Linked DNA regions of Anolis sagrei. The protein of the gene in region 1 binds, or shares a complex with, the protein of each later gene. Links are inferred from orthologs where the notes say so. Each region holds a gene or a part of one and is shown in the gene's direction. Other genes may lie near its edges. The genes, in order: MUSK and DOK7.

Region 1 (8,050 bases):
TATAAGGTAAATAAAATTATAAAATTTTGGAATGAATGAATTTTGATCCTGGTTGGGAAGGAAATCAAGCCTACTTCTGCCCTTAATGTTGTTGTTCATTCGTTCAGTCGTCTCCGACTCTTCGTGACCTCATGGACCAGCCCACGCCAGAGCTCCCTGTCGGCCGTTACCACCCCCAGCTCCCTCAAGGTCAGTCCAGTCACTTCAAGGATGCCATCCATCCATCTTGCCCTTGGTCGGCCCCTTTTCCTTTTGCCTTCCACTTTCCCCAGCATAATTGTCTTCTCTAGGCTTTCCTGTCTCATGATGTGACCAAAGTACTTCAACTTTGTCTCTAGTATCTTTCCCTCCAGTGAGCAGTCGGGCTTTATTTCCTGGAGGACGGACTGGTTGGATCTTCTCGCAGTCCAAGGCACTCTCAGAACTTTCCTCCAACACCACAGCTCAAAAGCATCGATCCTCCTTCGCTCAATCTTCCCTAAGGTCCAGCTCTCACATCCGTAGGTTACTACAGGGAATACCATGGCTTTGACTAGGCGGATCTTTGTTGCCAGTCTGATGTCTCTACTCTTTATTATTTTATTGAGATTGGACATTGCTTTCCTCCCAAGAAGTAAGCGTCTTCTGATTTCCTGGCCACAGTCTGCATCTGCAGTAATCTTTGCACCTAGAAATACAAAGTCTGTCACGGCCTCCACGGTTTCTCCCTCTATTTTCCAGTTGTCAATCATTCTTGTTGCCATAATCTTGGTTTTTTTGACGTTTAGCTGCAATCCGGCTTTTGCGCTTTTCACCTTCTTTCTGCCCTTAATACAGAAGCACAAATAACAGGTAGAAGTTAGAGCCTGTTTCATTTTTTTAGGTATTATGGATTCACCAAAATTTTGCTTTGTATAAAAGCACTCAAGCCCTCAACTTTGTCCTCAGCGTTTGTCACCAGGGGGAACCAAATTCCTTCCTTCTCTCTGTTGAAATTCTAGAACTGCTTGAAATAATCTTACATGAGGTTTCCTAGAAAGCATTTCAGAGAACAAAATCCCTAAATATCTGTAAGTATTAATTTATTCTATGACATTTCTATATGCTATTTGTTTATCTGATTTCCATATACAGTATGTCTCAATGGCTTGGGGGTTAAACCCATAATAACTTTATATTTTGTAAATAATTTTCCTTTCTTACAGATTTTTATACTGTTAAAACCTGCATTAACACGTACTAGAAAATCATTAAAATATAATTTTCTTCTGCCCACTATTTCAATTTTAAGGGCAGAAAATGACTATACAGTTAGACAATGGCCTAAATCCAGCTATTACTCACTGATAGAATAGGGTCATTAAATAACCAGGAATTTGTTAAGTTAATGCTTACATAAAGTCCATTGATTTAATGAATTTGTTTTAGTTGGGACTAACAGCTGCATTTGAGACATTATCCGAAAAGCGAATTAGTTTCTTAGTGGGCTACAAAGAGTTCCCTTCAAAAAAGGAGCATGACCACACATCTAAGCAGTTTTCAGGACAGTATCATCCCAATTTGCAGAGATTTTAGGGCCAAAGAAAAAGATTGGGATGCTTCCTTGTCAAGTCAAAAGGGGTATATATGTGTGATGCCACCTTAGTGGCCTCTTGTGTAAAGGTTATGAAATTGAGTGTGAAAGACAATGTGAGTTTTCTGAACAAATATCCGCCTCAATCCAACATTCCCTTAGCATAAAATAAATATAAGCACCACACAATGCACATACAGAATAGTAACATTGTGCAGCACATGTTGGCAAGGTGTCATTGTGAAAAGCACGATACATTTTGCACAACTGCATTGCAAAATATAAATTAAGCAATTGCCATGCAAAATCTTCATGCAAAATATAGCATGCACAACAACAGAAGGTATGCAACTGCAAGGATGCGGCAGAGATGAACATGTTGGCACAATTATGCATCCACTGCTATGAGCAAAACAAATCCATTGCACAATGGTGACATGTTGGCTCTATGTGAGTAGCATACCTATACGAGGGACAGGGCCTTCTCGATGGTGGCCCCTCGACTTTGGAACTCCCTGCCATTAGAGATCAGAACTGCCCCCTCCCTCATGACGTTCAGGAAACTAACAAAGACCTGGTTGTGGAACGCGGCATTTGACAACTGATTTAATTCTTTGCCCACATGAAAGGAGGATGATGAATGGGATTGTGATGGTGTTGGACGATTTGGCTCTTTTAACTGTGATGATAATGTTTTAATGTGTATGGTGCTGATATTTTAATCGTGTAATGAAGTGGCATTGTGTTGTTATTGTATATTCTTTGTATGTTAACACATGTTGTGAACCGGTCCGAATCCCTCTTTGAAGGTGAGAGGGTCGGTATATAAAACCTCGAAATAAATAATAAATAATAAATATATCCCTACCACAATTCCAACCATTGGGTGCATCAAAAATATTAAAATATTTTAAAATGGTCAAAATGTACCTTTTCGGTGTCAGGAAACCCTGATGAGAAGTATCCTGAAATGATAAGCATCTTCACTGATATGGACCCTTAAGGTAACTCTGTCATAGATCTGAGAGTGTATAACTCACCTAAGGCCATCCAGTGGGTTTCCATGGTCAAGCAAAGAATTGAATCCTGGTCCCCAGAATCATAGTCCAACTCTCAGGCCATTACACAAAACTTACTTTCTTATCTACACAAAATTCATATGTGGTCAATTTGCAGAGAAAACAGCACTTGAAGGACAGGAAACCTATTACAGAAGGGTGAAACTTCACACATATTCACCCTGTTCATCCTCTCATGCCTCTGTAAAGGCAGGTGAAGCGGGACACTTCACCTGGACTTTTGTGATAAGGTCGTAAGAAAGAAAAAAGTTATCAATGATAACTAGATGAAATCTTTGTGTTCTTGATAAGGGATCAGGCGATACTTTAGATGTTGCTGAGTGGGAAGACTGAAGATCGTTCACCAATGGCTATCATGGCTGGAGTTGGTGGAAAATGTGGCCAAACAACTTCTTGAAGTTCATACCTTCCCCATCTCTAGATTCTAGGGATAAATAATAATGGAGAGCTGTGGGTTTAGTATCAGTGGTGGTGCATGTGGAAAATCAATATGTGGAAAATCATCTCCTATTTCTAAATCCTGGAGATAAACAATAGTAGTGAATTGTTGGTTTAGTGCCAATGCTGGTGGATGTGCTATGCTAATTCCTTGAAACTAGGATTGGGAGATGAAAGCATCTCTATTAAAAGGAAATGGTAAAGGTTTTCCCCTGGCATTAAGTCCAGTCATGCCCGACTCTGGAGGGTGATGCTCATATCAATTTCTAAGCCAAAGAGCCGGGGTTGTCCGTAGACCGCTCCAAGGTCATGTGGCCGGCATGACTGCATGGAGCGTCGTTACCCTCCTGCTGGAGTGATATCTATTGATATACTCATATTTGCATGTTTTCGAACTGCTAGGTTGGCAGAAGCTGGGGCTAACAGTGGTAGCTCACAACGCTCCCCGAATTCGAACCTGCATCTCTATTAGGACATCTCAAAAATACCTTTGCCCATGGCCATGGCCAACTACTGAAAGAAAAGCATTGGGAATCAATCAGAATTAGCAATACTGGGACTGATGAATAAGCTGTGTGCTGCTTCATATCTACATAGGAAGGCTTTTGCCTTCTTGGGTACTTCCCATGATGCTAGATTAAATTAGGAGTGGAAACTGTACTCCTCTAAACATTGCAGGGTTACAGCTACCATCAACCCTAGTTAACAAAGCAAGTAGTGGGGAATGATGGAAACTAAACTTCAGCACCATTTGGAAGGCCACACAATTTCTTTGCCTAATTAAATAGACCTTTGGTCTAATCTAGCGCATGAGGAGTTTCGTAAAACATGCAGCACTAAAGAAAAACTCTGAGCATTTTTCACCCTTGGCTGAGATGGCAGCCTAACAGCTTCTGTTGGCCTGTGCCATGCTATTATTTTAGAAAGGCATTGAGGCATTGTGCTGCTCAACTGTTTGCTTAAAAGGAATTCTGAAGGGATTTGCGTTCTCTTGTTTCATGAGCCCTCACATGTTGATACTGCCCGAAGTGGAAGCACACCAGCTGGCTGTGTCCATCACAGCTACCAAGTCTGAGAATTCCTGATTATACTTAGAACCCACAGAGTCAGTGGCGGAGAGGAACGTTGCAATGAACCATGCTTTCAAATTGAGCAGCCGCGAAGGAATATGCCTGTCTTTGACTAAAGAAGACGGATCCCATTTTCCCCCTTCCTTGGATTAACCATGAAAGACTCGCTCAACATTCCACTTGTACATATCTTTACTCTGGCGGCCTTCAGCTTGGCTGAAAGACTCCCAAAAGGTTGGTGTGAATAATGAACATCTTCTTAGCTTTGCCACTCATAACATATTTTCTCTATAACCTGGGGCAAGCCAGGCAAGTGGGATAAATATATAAGCCACGTAGATCTGTATGAATGAGCTCATTTCCCCCATGCAGTTGCATCTGTGACTGCCTTTGAAAGGAAAGTATGGAAGAACCATCCCCTTTTCAGATTTACAAATCTCCATTGGAAAGCAGTGCTCTGCTGTGTTTGTGTGGTAAGACTGTTTATCTTAAGTACCAAGTCAAGCACAAGTGATAAGACTGAAACTGTTTTCATGAATTCATAGTTGAATGTATTTTAGCATGGATGGTTAACTGGGAATAAATCTCACTGGACATCATAGGACCTCCAAGTAAATATAGTTTTGAGAAAGCTGCATGAAATAAGTGTTTAAAGTTATTCTAGATAGATAGAAGGATGCAGGCAAACTTTGATATTTTTTAGTTCCTGTGCAAGCTATATATATAGGGGGGGGGGGGGAATTAATGGGAAAATGAGAACTTTTGGTGAAATGTTATGGAGATTTATTCAGAAGCAGATCCCACTATGTCAATACAGCTTATTCTCGGATACATGTGCATAGGGGCACTGCTTTCCAATATAAATCTATATGTAGTCTCAAAAGTAAATTCCATTGATTTCACTGAGATTTTCTTCCAGGTAAATTAGTACAGCATCCTCAGTGATTTCAAAATGCTTTGATGCCATTTCAACTCTGAAAACAGTTCGAAATACATTTGAGAGAAAGTACAAGTGTTTATTTTGAGACAAAATACATCAGTATGTATTTTACTTGGGAATGTTCATGTGGAAAAGTTAGATAATAATACTGAAATGGATCAGAGGTTATCAATAAGCAAATACACACAAGAGGAAATGCAGTTTCATTTATCCTTATATAGTTATTTCCATGTATCTATATATGATTATACAGATACAATTGTTTATTACAGTTTTGTGAAAAATTAAAGACATAGTCCTGTTAACTCCAATGAGATCTGTACTAATATTATAAATCTATGCATACATAATATTATAATGATATTTATTTTTCTTAGATACAGTAATGAATCTTCAATTTAAGCATATCTAAATATATCTGTATAGGATAATATCCAACTTGAGCCAAGCATTTTTAGATGATTATTAATTCTAGAGGCAAAGTTATACATTTTGGGGAGCTCTTTGAATTTTCCTCCGACATTGCTTTTCAAAAATACAAGGGCACCCTTGAGAGGCTGAAATTGGAGGTAGAGAACAAGCAGGTGGAAACAGAACCATTTATCCACCTAGCTACTGGGCGCATTGTTCACAGAAAAGAAATATGGAGGTCTAGCATAACTTGGAAAGGAGACAGAGAAGCACAATTCTGAGTCAATATACAGTATGATCCCCATATCTTCGAAACTGAGGATTCCTTTACCGTAGAGTCTCACTTATCCAACCTTCGCTCATCCAACATTCTGTATTATCCAACGCAGTCTGCCTCCCGCCTGGATCCACAGGTGTTTCAGTACATTGTGATATTTTGATGTTAAATTTGTAAATACGGTAATTACTACATAACCTTACTGTGTATTGAACTGCTTTTCTGTCGATTTGTTGTAAAACATGTTTTGGTGCTTAATTTGTAAAATCATAATATAATTTGACGTTTAATAGGCTTTTCCTTAATCTCTCCTTATTATCCAACATTTTCACTTATCCAACTTTCTGCTGGCCCGTTTATGCTGGATAAGCGAGACTCTACTGTATATTTATGCAACCAAATATGTTTTCTTGAGGCATTTTCTAGGTCCTCCACTGCAACATGAGTGTATTCTTGGGCCAGGAATTGTTTATTTCAATAAGATTTGATAATACCTGCTATTTCATATATCCATGTCTGGGAACATATTCCTAGTGGATATAGGCGTTGTACTGTATCCCAGAAATGGAAATCCTAAGCAGTCCCTCCCCCAGGTTTTTTTCCTGTTTAACTAAAGGCACTCTCCTGTTTGTTTTTCATTTTAAAAGTCTTCCCTACACCATGAGATATGCAACTCCATTTCTTGTGAATTTCGCCGCTAGGGCCATTGGTTCTCCCAACAGCATTTTATCAGTTGAGATTAATATTTATAAATGACTTTTCATGTGAAAAAATGTGGTGGAATGAAGATTTGGAAAAATGTTCCAACTGAGTGTTTGCATGAAGTTCATTAACATATTGGCATCAAGATTATGTAAACAGTTCAAACCAACAGTGCTGTCAACAGCTTGATAAATGAGCTGGAAGCAAAATTTTAGCCTTCAGTTAGTTTCCAGGTCCATAAAAAGCTGATCCGTAACGTTCTTTGTTGTATATATGCACAACGTAATGATGAAAATGAAATGAATAGCATTCATCTTATTTTTTTGGCAACTTTGCATAGAGGATTTGTTATCCTGCAAAGAAATATTTATCCTCAAACTGGATTTGTTCACTGTACAAATAAAAGATTATCAGGTACATATTAATTGCTGGGTGTTACACAAGGTTGTTTAGACACAACTAATTGAAAAAAAGACAGTGTTGTATACTTCTTTTAAATATATTTGGCTTAGCAATAGTTATGAGATTCAGAACTTGAGTAAGAGGACACTTGTTTCCAAATGTCCCACTTCCTACCACCTACATGAAATATTTAAAATGGAAACAAATTTGACTAGCGATGGGTGACACTCATATATCTTCCCTAATGCAGAAGTGTAAATCAAGATGATCTTCCCTGAAAGGAATACTTTGGAAAATAGCTCCATTAATTCTGAGTAGTACATTTCAAAACCACCTTGAAGACCATCTCATTTATGATGATATCTACAGGAATATAGCAGGGTCAAAACCTCTTATTCTGAAATATCTAAGAATCTCATAAAAACTTTCCTGGCTGCTGCTGTTATAAGATTCATAACAGGTACCAATATTTTGATGGCAATAGTATCAGAGAAGGAAGTCTCTCTTATCCTCCTCACTCTTTTTTAGTAGCGGCCAATGCAGAGAGGGATCCAGAAGATATACATGAATTTTGCCCTTCCATCACATGAGCAAGTGATGGGAAAAATAGATGCAGTGATACATGGAAAGGTTTTCTAGCTTGGGTTGCAATGGAATGGCACAGTTTGGAACACTGGTGTGCATTCTGAATAAGCTATGTTTACACTCTGAACTGGATCATCAGCATTTGTGAAGTTTGCCAATAGTATTAGTCGAGAAAAGAAAAACCTACAGCAAAGCCCCGATGTGTTTACCTGCCTATTTTACCACTGCAATCACATTAATTTTTTCTCCTTTTAAGCTTTGGAGTAAGCTTTGGACTGTTCCTAAGAATAAGAATAAGAATAAAAATAACAATAAGAAGAAGAATGCTTTATTTATATCCTGTTTCCTCCCCAAAGGGACTCGAAGCTGCTTACAACAAATAGAAACAAATTATAATAAATGCATACATTGTCAAAAATAACTCAACAGTAATAAAATAAGCAAAGCAAACACAAACCATAGTACATATAACTAAAAAAATGGCAACTAATTTCAAACAGTTTAAAACATCTCAGTACTTACTTTAGTTTGTAAAACAATAGGATTTAGTTAGAGTTTGATCCCTTAAGACCTCAATCAAGTATATTACACATT
Region 2 (8,050 bases), on another chromosome or scaffold:
ACGTAGAGCGAGTTGCAGTAATCTATTTGGGATGTGACAAGAGAGTGGGCCGCTGTGGCCAGATCAGACTTCCCAAATTACAGGTGCAGTTCAAAGCAGATAATGTGGGATTTTATTCAGCTGTGTGGAAGGGGCCTGGGTTATATGGAAGGACCCTAACTCTCCCCTTGTCAGAACAAAAAGGCAGAGGGTTGTTGTCGGTTTTTCGGACAGTATGGCCATGTTCTAGAACAGTGCTTCTCAACCTGTGGGTCCCCAGGTGTTTTGGCCTACAACTCCCAGGAATTTCAGCCAGTTTACCAGCTGCTAGGATTTCTGGGAGTTGAAGGCCAAAACATCTGGGGACCCACATGTTGAGAACTACTGTTCTAGAAGCATTCTCTCCTGACGTTACACCTGAATCTATGGCAGGCATCCTCAGAGGTTGTGAGGTCTGTTGGAAACTAGGAAAATTGAAAGAGGTGTGAGCAAGACGACAGCTAGGCTCTAGAACCGGGTTTCTCAACTTTCCTAATACTGCGGCCCCTCAATACACTTCCTCATGTTGTGGTGACCCCCAATTATAACTTTATTTTCGTTGCTACTTCGTAACTTTGGTGCTGGAGGAAAGTTCTGAGAGTGCCTTGGACTGCGAGAAGATCCAACCAGTCCATCCTCCAGGAAATAAAGCCAGACTGCTCACTGGAGGGAAAGATACTAGAGACAAAATTGAAATACTTTGGCCACATCATGAGGAGACAGGAAAGCCTAGAGAAGACAATTATGGTGGGGAAAGTGGAAGGAAAAAGGAAGAGGGGCCGACCAAGGGCAAGATGGATGGATGGCATCCTTGAAGTGACTGGACTGACCTTGAGGGAGCTGGGGGTGGTGACGGCCGACAGGGAGCTCTGGCGTGGGCTGGTCCATGAGGTCACGAAGAGTCGGAGACGACTGAACGAATGAACAACAACAACACTTCGTAACTGTCGTTTCACTACCGTTATGAATCATAATGTAAATATCCAATATGCGGGATGAATTTTCATTCACTGGACCAAATCTGGAACAAATACCCGATACGCCCACATTTGAATCCTAGTGGGGTTGGGGGGGGGGGATTGATTTTGTCATTTGGGAGTTGTAGTTGCTGGAATTTATAGTTCACCTACAATCAAAAAGCATTCTGAACTTCACCAGTGATGGAATTAAACCAATCTTGGCACACTGAACTTCCACGACCAACAGAAAATACTGGAAGGGTTTGGTGGGCATTGACCTTGAGTTTTGGAGTTGTAGTTCATTTACATCCAGAGTGCACTGTGGACACAAACAGTGATGGAACTGGACCAAATTTGGCATGAATACTCAATATTCCCAAATCAGAACACTGGTGGAGTTTGGGGAATAGAGACCTTGACATTTGGGAGTTGTACTCGCTGGGATTTATAGTTCACCTACAATCAAAGAGCACTCTGAACCCAGCCCACAATGGATCTGCACCAAACTTAGCACACTACCTACATGGCCAGCATTGAATACTGGTGGGCAGGCATGTAGCCAGGGGGGGGGGGGCTCGGGGGGCTTCACCCCCCCCCCGAAATTTTCATGGTGGTTCGCGAAAAGGCCTTATTGGTGCATTATTTAAACTATTATGTTTATTCATATCATGATCTGATCACCATACTCAATATATCCCATATGCATGGGGGTATTGGGGTAATGATACAAAAGGTTTGCTAGGCTAGACCCTCTTTCACTCAGACTCAGCTCCCCCAAAACTCAGCCCCCCCAAAACCCCCCCTGAAAAAAATTCAGCCCCCCCCCCCCCGAAACGAAATCCTGGCTACGGGCCTGCTGGTGGGGTTAGGGCAGGCCCGTAGCCAGGAAAGGGCACATCTTCACTGACCATTTGGGTTGATTTGGAACCAGTTTGGGAAAAATTAGTTTTGCAGTGCAGATGGTTAGACATATTTGGAGGAGGTTTGAGGCCAGGAAGGTAATCACATTATAATGGAAGGTGGCCTCAAACCAGTTCCAAAATTCACAGTATCTGCTGCTTGACAGCCACTGGGCAGGCCCGTAGTCAGGATTTTGATTGGGGGGGGGGGGGGGGCTAAGTCTGAGTGAAAGAGGGTCTACCCTAGCAAACATTTTGTATCATTACCCCAATACCTCCATGCATATGGGATATATTGAGTATCATAGAATCATAGAATCAAAGAGTTGGAAGAGACCTCATGGGCCATCCAGTCCAACCCCCTGCCAAGAAGCAGGAATGTTGCATTCAAAGCACCCCTGACAGATGGCCATCCAGCCTCTGTTTAAAAGCTTCCAAAGAAGGAGCCTCCACCACACTCCGGGGCAGAGAGTTCCACTGCTGAACGGCTCTCACAGTTAGGAAGTTCTTCCTTGTGTTCAGATGGAATCTTCAGATGGAGTATGGTGATCAGATCATGATATGAATAAACATAACATAATGCACCAGTAAGGCCTTTTCGCGAACCACCATGAGAATTTCGGGGGGGGGGGGGGAGGCTGAAGCCCCCGGCCACATGCCTGGGTTGGGGAGGCTATTTTTGAATTCTGGGAGCTGTAGTTCACCAACACCAAAAAGGAAGAGAAGGACAGACGGAGAGATCTTTAGCCTTCTCTAACAAAAGGGTTCCTATGACCATCAGAAGTATGTGTTTTCTGATGGACTTTGGTGACCCCTCTGAAACCCACTGGTGACCCCCTCAGGGGTCCCGACCTCCAGGTTGAGAAACACTGCTCTAGAAAGAAGCCTCCACCCGGCCCAGAGTGAGAGACAAGAAGAGGAAGGGAACAGCCGCGGCCACCTTTCAGGCAGGACTGAGCGCTCAGGGTCCTGCAAGGGAAGGGAGGGGTCTGGCCCCGCCCCCTACTCCTCGGGGCCACGCCCACTCGGCCAGCAGTGACCCAATAAAGTTATTTTGAAAGTGACCCTGCCGCCGCCGCGCCAGCCGCAGCTGTCGGAAATCATGACTGAAGATGACGGATTCCGCGGTAGTGGTGGAGGGCCAGCTCAAGTGGAGAGATGGAAAAAAGGTCCGCGGCACCCACCTTTCCCGGGGACGGGGCAGGAGGGTCTTTTCTCCCTCTCTCCCTCCCTCACTTTCCCTTTACCCCCTCCAATGCCTCTCTCTCTCTCTTTCTCCACAGTGGAAGACGCGGTGGGCGGTGCTGCGCAAGCCTTCGCCGGTCGCTGGTGAGTCCGGCGCGTGAGGGGAAAGCGAGGAAGGAAGGGGGGGGGTTCTCTTGGAGGAGGCAGATAGGCCCCTGGCGCCTCTGTGGGGAAAGGAGCGCCTCCCTCAGCCTTCCTCCGGGTCACGAGGAAAGCTGAGGGAGGAGACCCTTCCCCAGCCCTTGCCTTGCCCTTGCCGGTCTCGCGCCGGTTTCTCGCCCCCTCTTCAGTTTTATGAGCCTGGCCCGCAGGCGGGGAATCAGGGCTAAATTTAGAAGGAGGGCATTGAAGGGTGGAGGGGAGGGGAGGGGCCGCGCTGCTATTGGGGAAGGAGGAGGGGCCCACCGGCTCTGCTTGGGGCAGAAGCAGCATTGGGACGCACGGGTCCCGGATGCTCAAGTCTTGGGTTTAGAGGCCAAGCAAGTGCTTCTGAGGGCCCTTCCACACAGCTGTACACTATTCCCTTTGAACTGGGTTATATGGCAGTGTGGACTCAGATAATCCAGTTCAAAGCAGATATTGTGGATTTTCTGCCTTGATATTCTGGGGGCCCTTCCACACAGCCCTATATCCCAGAATATCAAGGCAGAAAATTCCACATTATCTGACTAGACCAGTGTTTCTCAACCTTCTTAATACCACGACCCCTTAATACAGTTCCTGGTGTTGTGGTGGCCCCCAACCATAAAATTATTTTCATTGCTACTTCATAACTGCAGTTTTGCTACTGTTATGAATCATAATGTAAAAATCTGGTATGCAGGATGTATTTTCATTCCCTGAACCAAATTTGGCACAAATACCCGATACGTCCAAATCTGAATATTTGTGGGGTTGGGGAGGATTGATTTTGTCATTTGGGAGTTGTAGTTGCTGGAATTTATAATTCACCTACAATTGAAGGGCATTCTGAACTCCACCAACGATTGTATTGAACCAGACTTGGCACACAGAACTCCCCTGACCAAAAGAAAATACTGGAAGGGTTTGGTAGGCATTGACCTTGTGTTTTGGAGTTATAGTTCATCTACATCCAGAGAGCACTGTGGACACAAACAATGATGGATCTGGACCAAACTTGGTATGAATCCTCAACATGCCCAAATGTGAATACTGGTGGTGTTTGGGGAAAATAGACCTTGACATTTGGGAGTTGTAGTTACTGGGATTTATAGTTCTCCTACACTCAAAGCACATCCTGAACCCCACCACCAGTGATAGAATTGGGTCAAACTTACCACACAGAACCCCCATGACTAATATTGTGTTTTCTGATGGTCTTTGGTGACCCCTCTGACACCTCCTTGCAACCCCCCCCCCCCCCCCGGGGTCTCAACCCCCAGGTTGAGAAACATGACTAGACTCAGATAACCCAATTCAAAGAAGATATTGTGGGATTTTCTGTCATTATATTCTGGGATATAGGACTGCGTTGAAGGGCCATGGGTTATATGGCCATGTGGAAGGGTCCTCAATTGGGCCTTTCTACCTCTTGCAGCTAGGTCTAACCATTCCACACAGCTGAATAAAATCCCACATTATTTGCTTTGCCCTGGGTTATATGTCTGTGTGGAAGGACCTTCAGAACTTTAACATTTTCCACCCACAACCTCTTTTGGCACAGGACAAGTTTACATTTGTATAGGTCTACAGTAGTAGACCCAACCCTTTTTTGACCAGGGACTATTCTCCAACATTACTGCCAAAAGGGTTACGAATCAGTTTTTCTTTAACTAGATTCAGTTTTGTTATTTGGGGTGCTGATTCAGAAAATTGCATTGGATAGACCACACCAGCTCTAGTTTCTGATGCAGAATATATGCCATCTGCTCACCCACAGAAAACCATATTCAATAATCTAGAACTGGTGTGGTAGCAGAAATCTTTCATGAGTAGTCAGCCACTCCCTTCCTGACATCCCCTTTGCCTCGGCACTACAAGAAGGTTCCACGAGACCAGTTGCTCTAGTTCCTGTGTTGTTCCGAGGCAACGATGTAGTAATGGTGAAGCTGCAGACCATATTTTTGTTCTTGCAGACCACTGGTGGTCCACAGACCACAGGTTAGGAACCAGTAGTCTACAAGCACTCCCAACTCCGAAGGGCTGAGACAACAGGAAATGAAAGAAATCTCTCTTTAGGAATGGAAATTCGCTCCTGAATGAGTTATCATGGGGAAAAGGTGTCTCTACCAAAGCTTTCTCACCAAATATTGTTTCCACAAGCCACATTTTTCTAATTATCAAGGGGAAAGAAAGTGAGGTGAAATCTTCTGAACAGAAGCACAAGGCCCTTTCAGACAGGTCCTATATCTCAGGATCTGATCCCAGGTTTTCTGTTTATCCCAGGACCCTTCCACACAGCCCTATATCCCAGAATATCAAGGCAGAAAACCCCACATTATCTGCTTTGAACTGGGTTACCTGAGTCCACACTCAGATAATGTGAGATTTTCTGCCTTGATATTCTGGGATATAGGGCTTTGTGGAAGGCCCTCACTTTATATTGCAGAGGGGCTCATATAATCCTGTTTAAATCAGATAACCTGGGATGAGATCCTGAGATATAGGGCCTGTCTGGAAGGGCCCACAGATAGCTAGAGCAACAACACAGGGGTGTTAACCTTTCCCTATGATATCTAAAGTGCATATGTGTATGTGTGTATGAATGGCTGGAGTTACACTTTAAAAATGTACCTGTGCTGACTTACATACAAATTCAATTTACGACCAAACCTACAGAACCTATCTTGTTTGTAACTTGGAGACTGTCTATGTATTGGTAAAATAGGTATGAAAAAATCTGTTATTTACAGATAACTGATCAGCATATGTAAGGCTTGCTAAACAGGCTGGTTTTCCTCTTTATGACCCACACAGCTGTATAAATGATCCATACAGCTGTATAAAATCCACATGGAACTGGATTATATAGCAGCATGGACTCAGATAACCCAGTTCAAAGTAGATATTGTGGATTATCTACCTTGATATTCTGGGTTTTATGGCTTGTGGAAGGGCCATTTGAAGCACAGCAGAAACACTTTCTGCAGAGTCCACTGTAAACACAGCACAACAGATTCATGTAAATGTCTGCAACAGCTACTAAGTGACCTTCAGAAAACTTTTCCTGTTGCCAATTTATTTTTTTTTGGGGGGGGGGGGGGGGGGTACCTACACTGATCCAAGGGGATCCCATTTGTGGCCAGGGCCCACGGTTTAAAACATAGTGATCTAGTTCACCACATCTTAAACTGTGTGTCCTGACCTTAAATGGGGATCACAACAACACTGGCAACAGTAAATGGTTTCTGAATGCTGCCTAGTGTTTTAGATATTTACACAAATCTGCTAACAACAATATGCAGTAGTTGCAGTGGACTGCAGAAGATACTTCAGCTCTACTTTGTAAAAGGGGAAAATCAGCCTGTTTAGCAAGCCTTTCAAATACTGATTTATTACCAGTAAATGTTTGATTTTTAACCTATTTATATACCTATATACCCTAGGGTAAAATTATTTGAGCAGAAAGGGGTCACAAGTGGAAAACGCTTTAAGAAGCCCTGGCTGATTCTGCTTTAACCTGTTGATTTTTAAATTTGTTCTGTTAGGATACGTGATAATCTCCATTTGTCCCTGTATTTAAACAGCAAATGTCTCTTATTTTTGCCCTCGCTAGCATGGTAAAGATTGTTTCCTCTCCTTCTCCCTTGTAATTTGGCAGCTAATTTCTGTCTCTGTGATGAGTGGTGGGTATCCTTTTTACCTCATACAATCTCAGTCTCTTCCTTCCTCTCTTTGAAAGTGCTGGGTCCTTTTGGCTGCCAATCAAGACCTGGGTGTTTTCTAGGGTTCTTAGCTATGTCAGCATGTGGTCACACTCCTTGAAATCATATGTAACATTTGTCACATCAACACTGATCCATATAGTTCAACACAGTTCAGCAGTTCAGAAATAATACATACATCGGGGGGGGGGGGACGAGTACAAAACAAGGTTATATTCTATTATACAGTGCTACAGTCCTCTGTCCTTTGGTATGAAGTCTCATATTGTATATCTGAGAAAAATACTTCACATCAAATTCTGCTTTCCAACTTTCTATGAAAACATACACCCCTTACTGTGATAACTAAAATTGGGGAGACTTGGAGAACTGGAAACTCAGAGACACTGGAGACTAAAAAGGACAACAGCTCTTCCAGCCTCCCCCTGTCCTCCCACAGTAGCTGGCTCCTACAGCTCTTGCAGATACATATCTTTCCATTTGGTTTCAATAGGAAGGAATTAGCTTTAAAGAAAAGGAGGCAAACAACCAAATAATAGGATAAAAGGATGTAGAAACCGAATTTTTCTCTTTCTTCTGCCCTGTTGGATTGCAGAAAGCCCAAAGGCTTTCCTATTACAGCTCTCCGATAAGATAAGGGTTACAATTGCTTTGTCAAAATCATTGTTTGAGTTGAAGGTTACATTAATCTTCGAAATGGAGTGTTAACATGTGCTTGATTTTTACTAAATTGTACTTTTAAATAACATGCATGTAGATACAAGAAAGATGGAAGTATTCTTTTGTACTATTTATCTCAACTAGACTGTTGTAAATTTATTTAAATAGTTCAGAGACATCTTTTATGGTGCTTTTATGGGCATGTTTTAAAATTTACCTATAGAAAGCTGAAATTCATGCTTCAAAAAAGGTTATTCATATTTCAGGACACCTATAGAAAGGGAAAATATCTCTGGTTGTCTTGAGAGTTTTAAATTTTGTAAAAATTGTACTTGTTTATCCAAGAATTGCAAGAAGAACAAAACTCACAATGAAGCCAATCAAACACCTTTTTGAGCCTCTTTAAAGAATAATTCAAGGGATG

The links.
Region 2: the proteins of MUSK (region 1) and DOK7 are in contact, whole or in part, in a crystal structure (PDB 3ML4), measured with the Mus musculus proteins. The link is inferred for Anolis sagrei from reciprocal best matches to the Homo sapiens genes MUSK and DOK7. Residues at the interface, in NP_035074.2 of Mus musculus: Leu547, His548, Pro549, Asn550, Pro551, Met552, Tyr553, Gln554, Arg555; in NP_001335203.1 of Mus musculus: Leu154, Ser155, Asp156, Leu157, Arg158, Arg159, Tyr160, Gly161, Gly172, Thr173, Arg174, Ser193, Asp197, Val200, Arg201.

The regions. Positions count from the first base shown.
Region 1 is NC_090022.1:205,876,745-205,884,794, reverse strand, and holds the start of MUSK (muscle, skeletal receptor tyrosine-protein kinase), read left to right. Parts: upstream 1-4,077; 5' UTR 4,078-4,294; coding exon 4,295-4,373; intron 4,374-8,050.
Region 2 is NC_090025.1:105,333,769-105,341,818, forward strand, and holds the start of DOK7 (protein Dok-7), read left to right. Parts: upstream 1-2,883; 5' UTR 2,884-2,988; coding exon 2,989-3,045; intron 3,046-3,060; exon of another isoform or gene 3,061-3,159; coding exon 3,160-3,205; exon of another isoform or gene 3,206-3,240; intron 3,241-8,050. UniProt on the Homo sapiens protein: Probable muscle-intrinsic activator of MUSK that plays an essential role in neuromuscular synaptogenesis. Acts in aneural activation of MUSK and subsequent acetylcholine receptor (AchR) clustering in myotubes. Induces autophosphorylation of MUSK.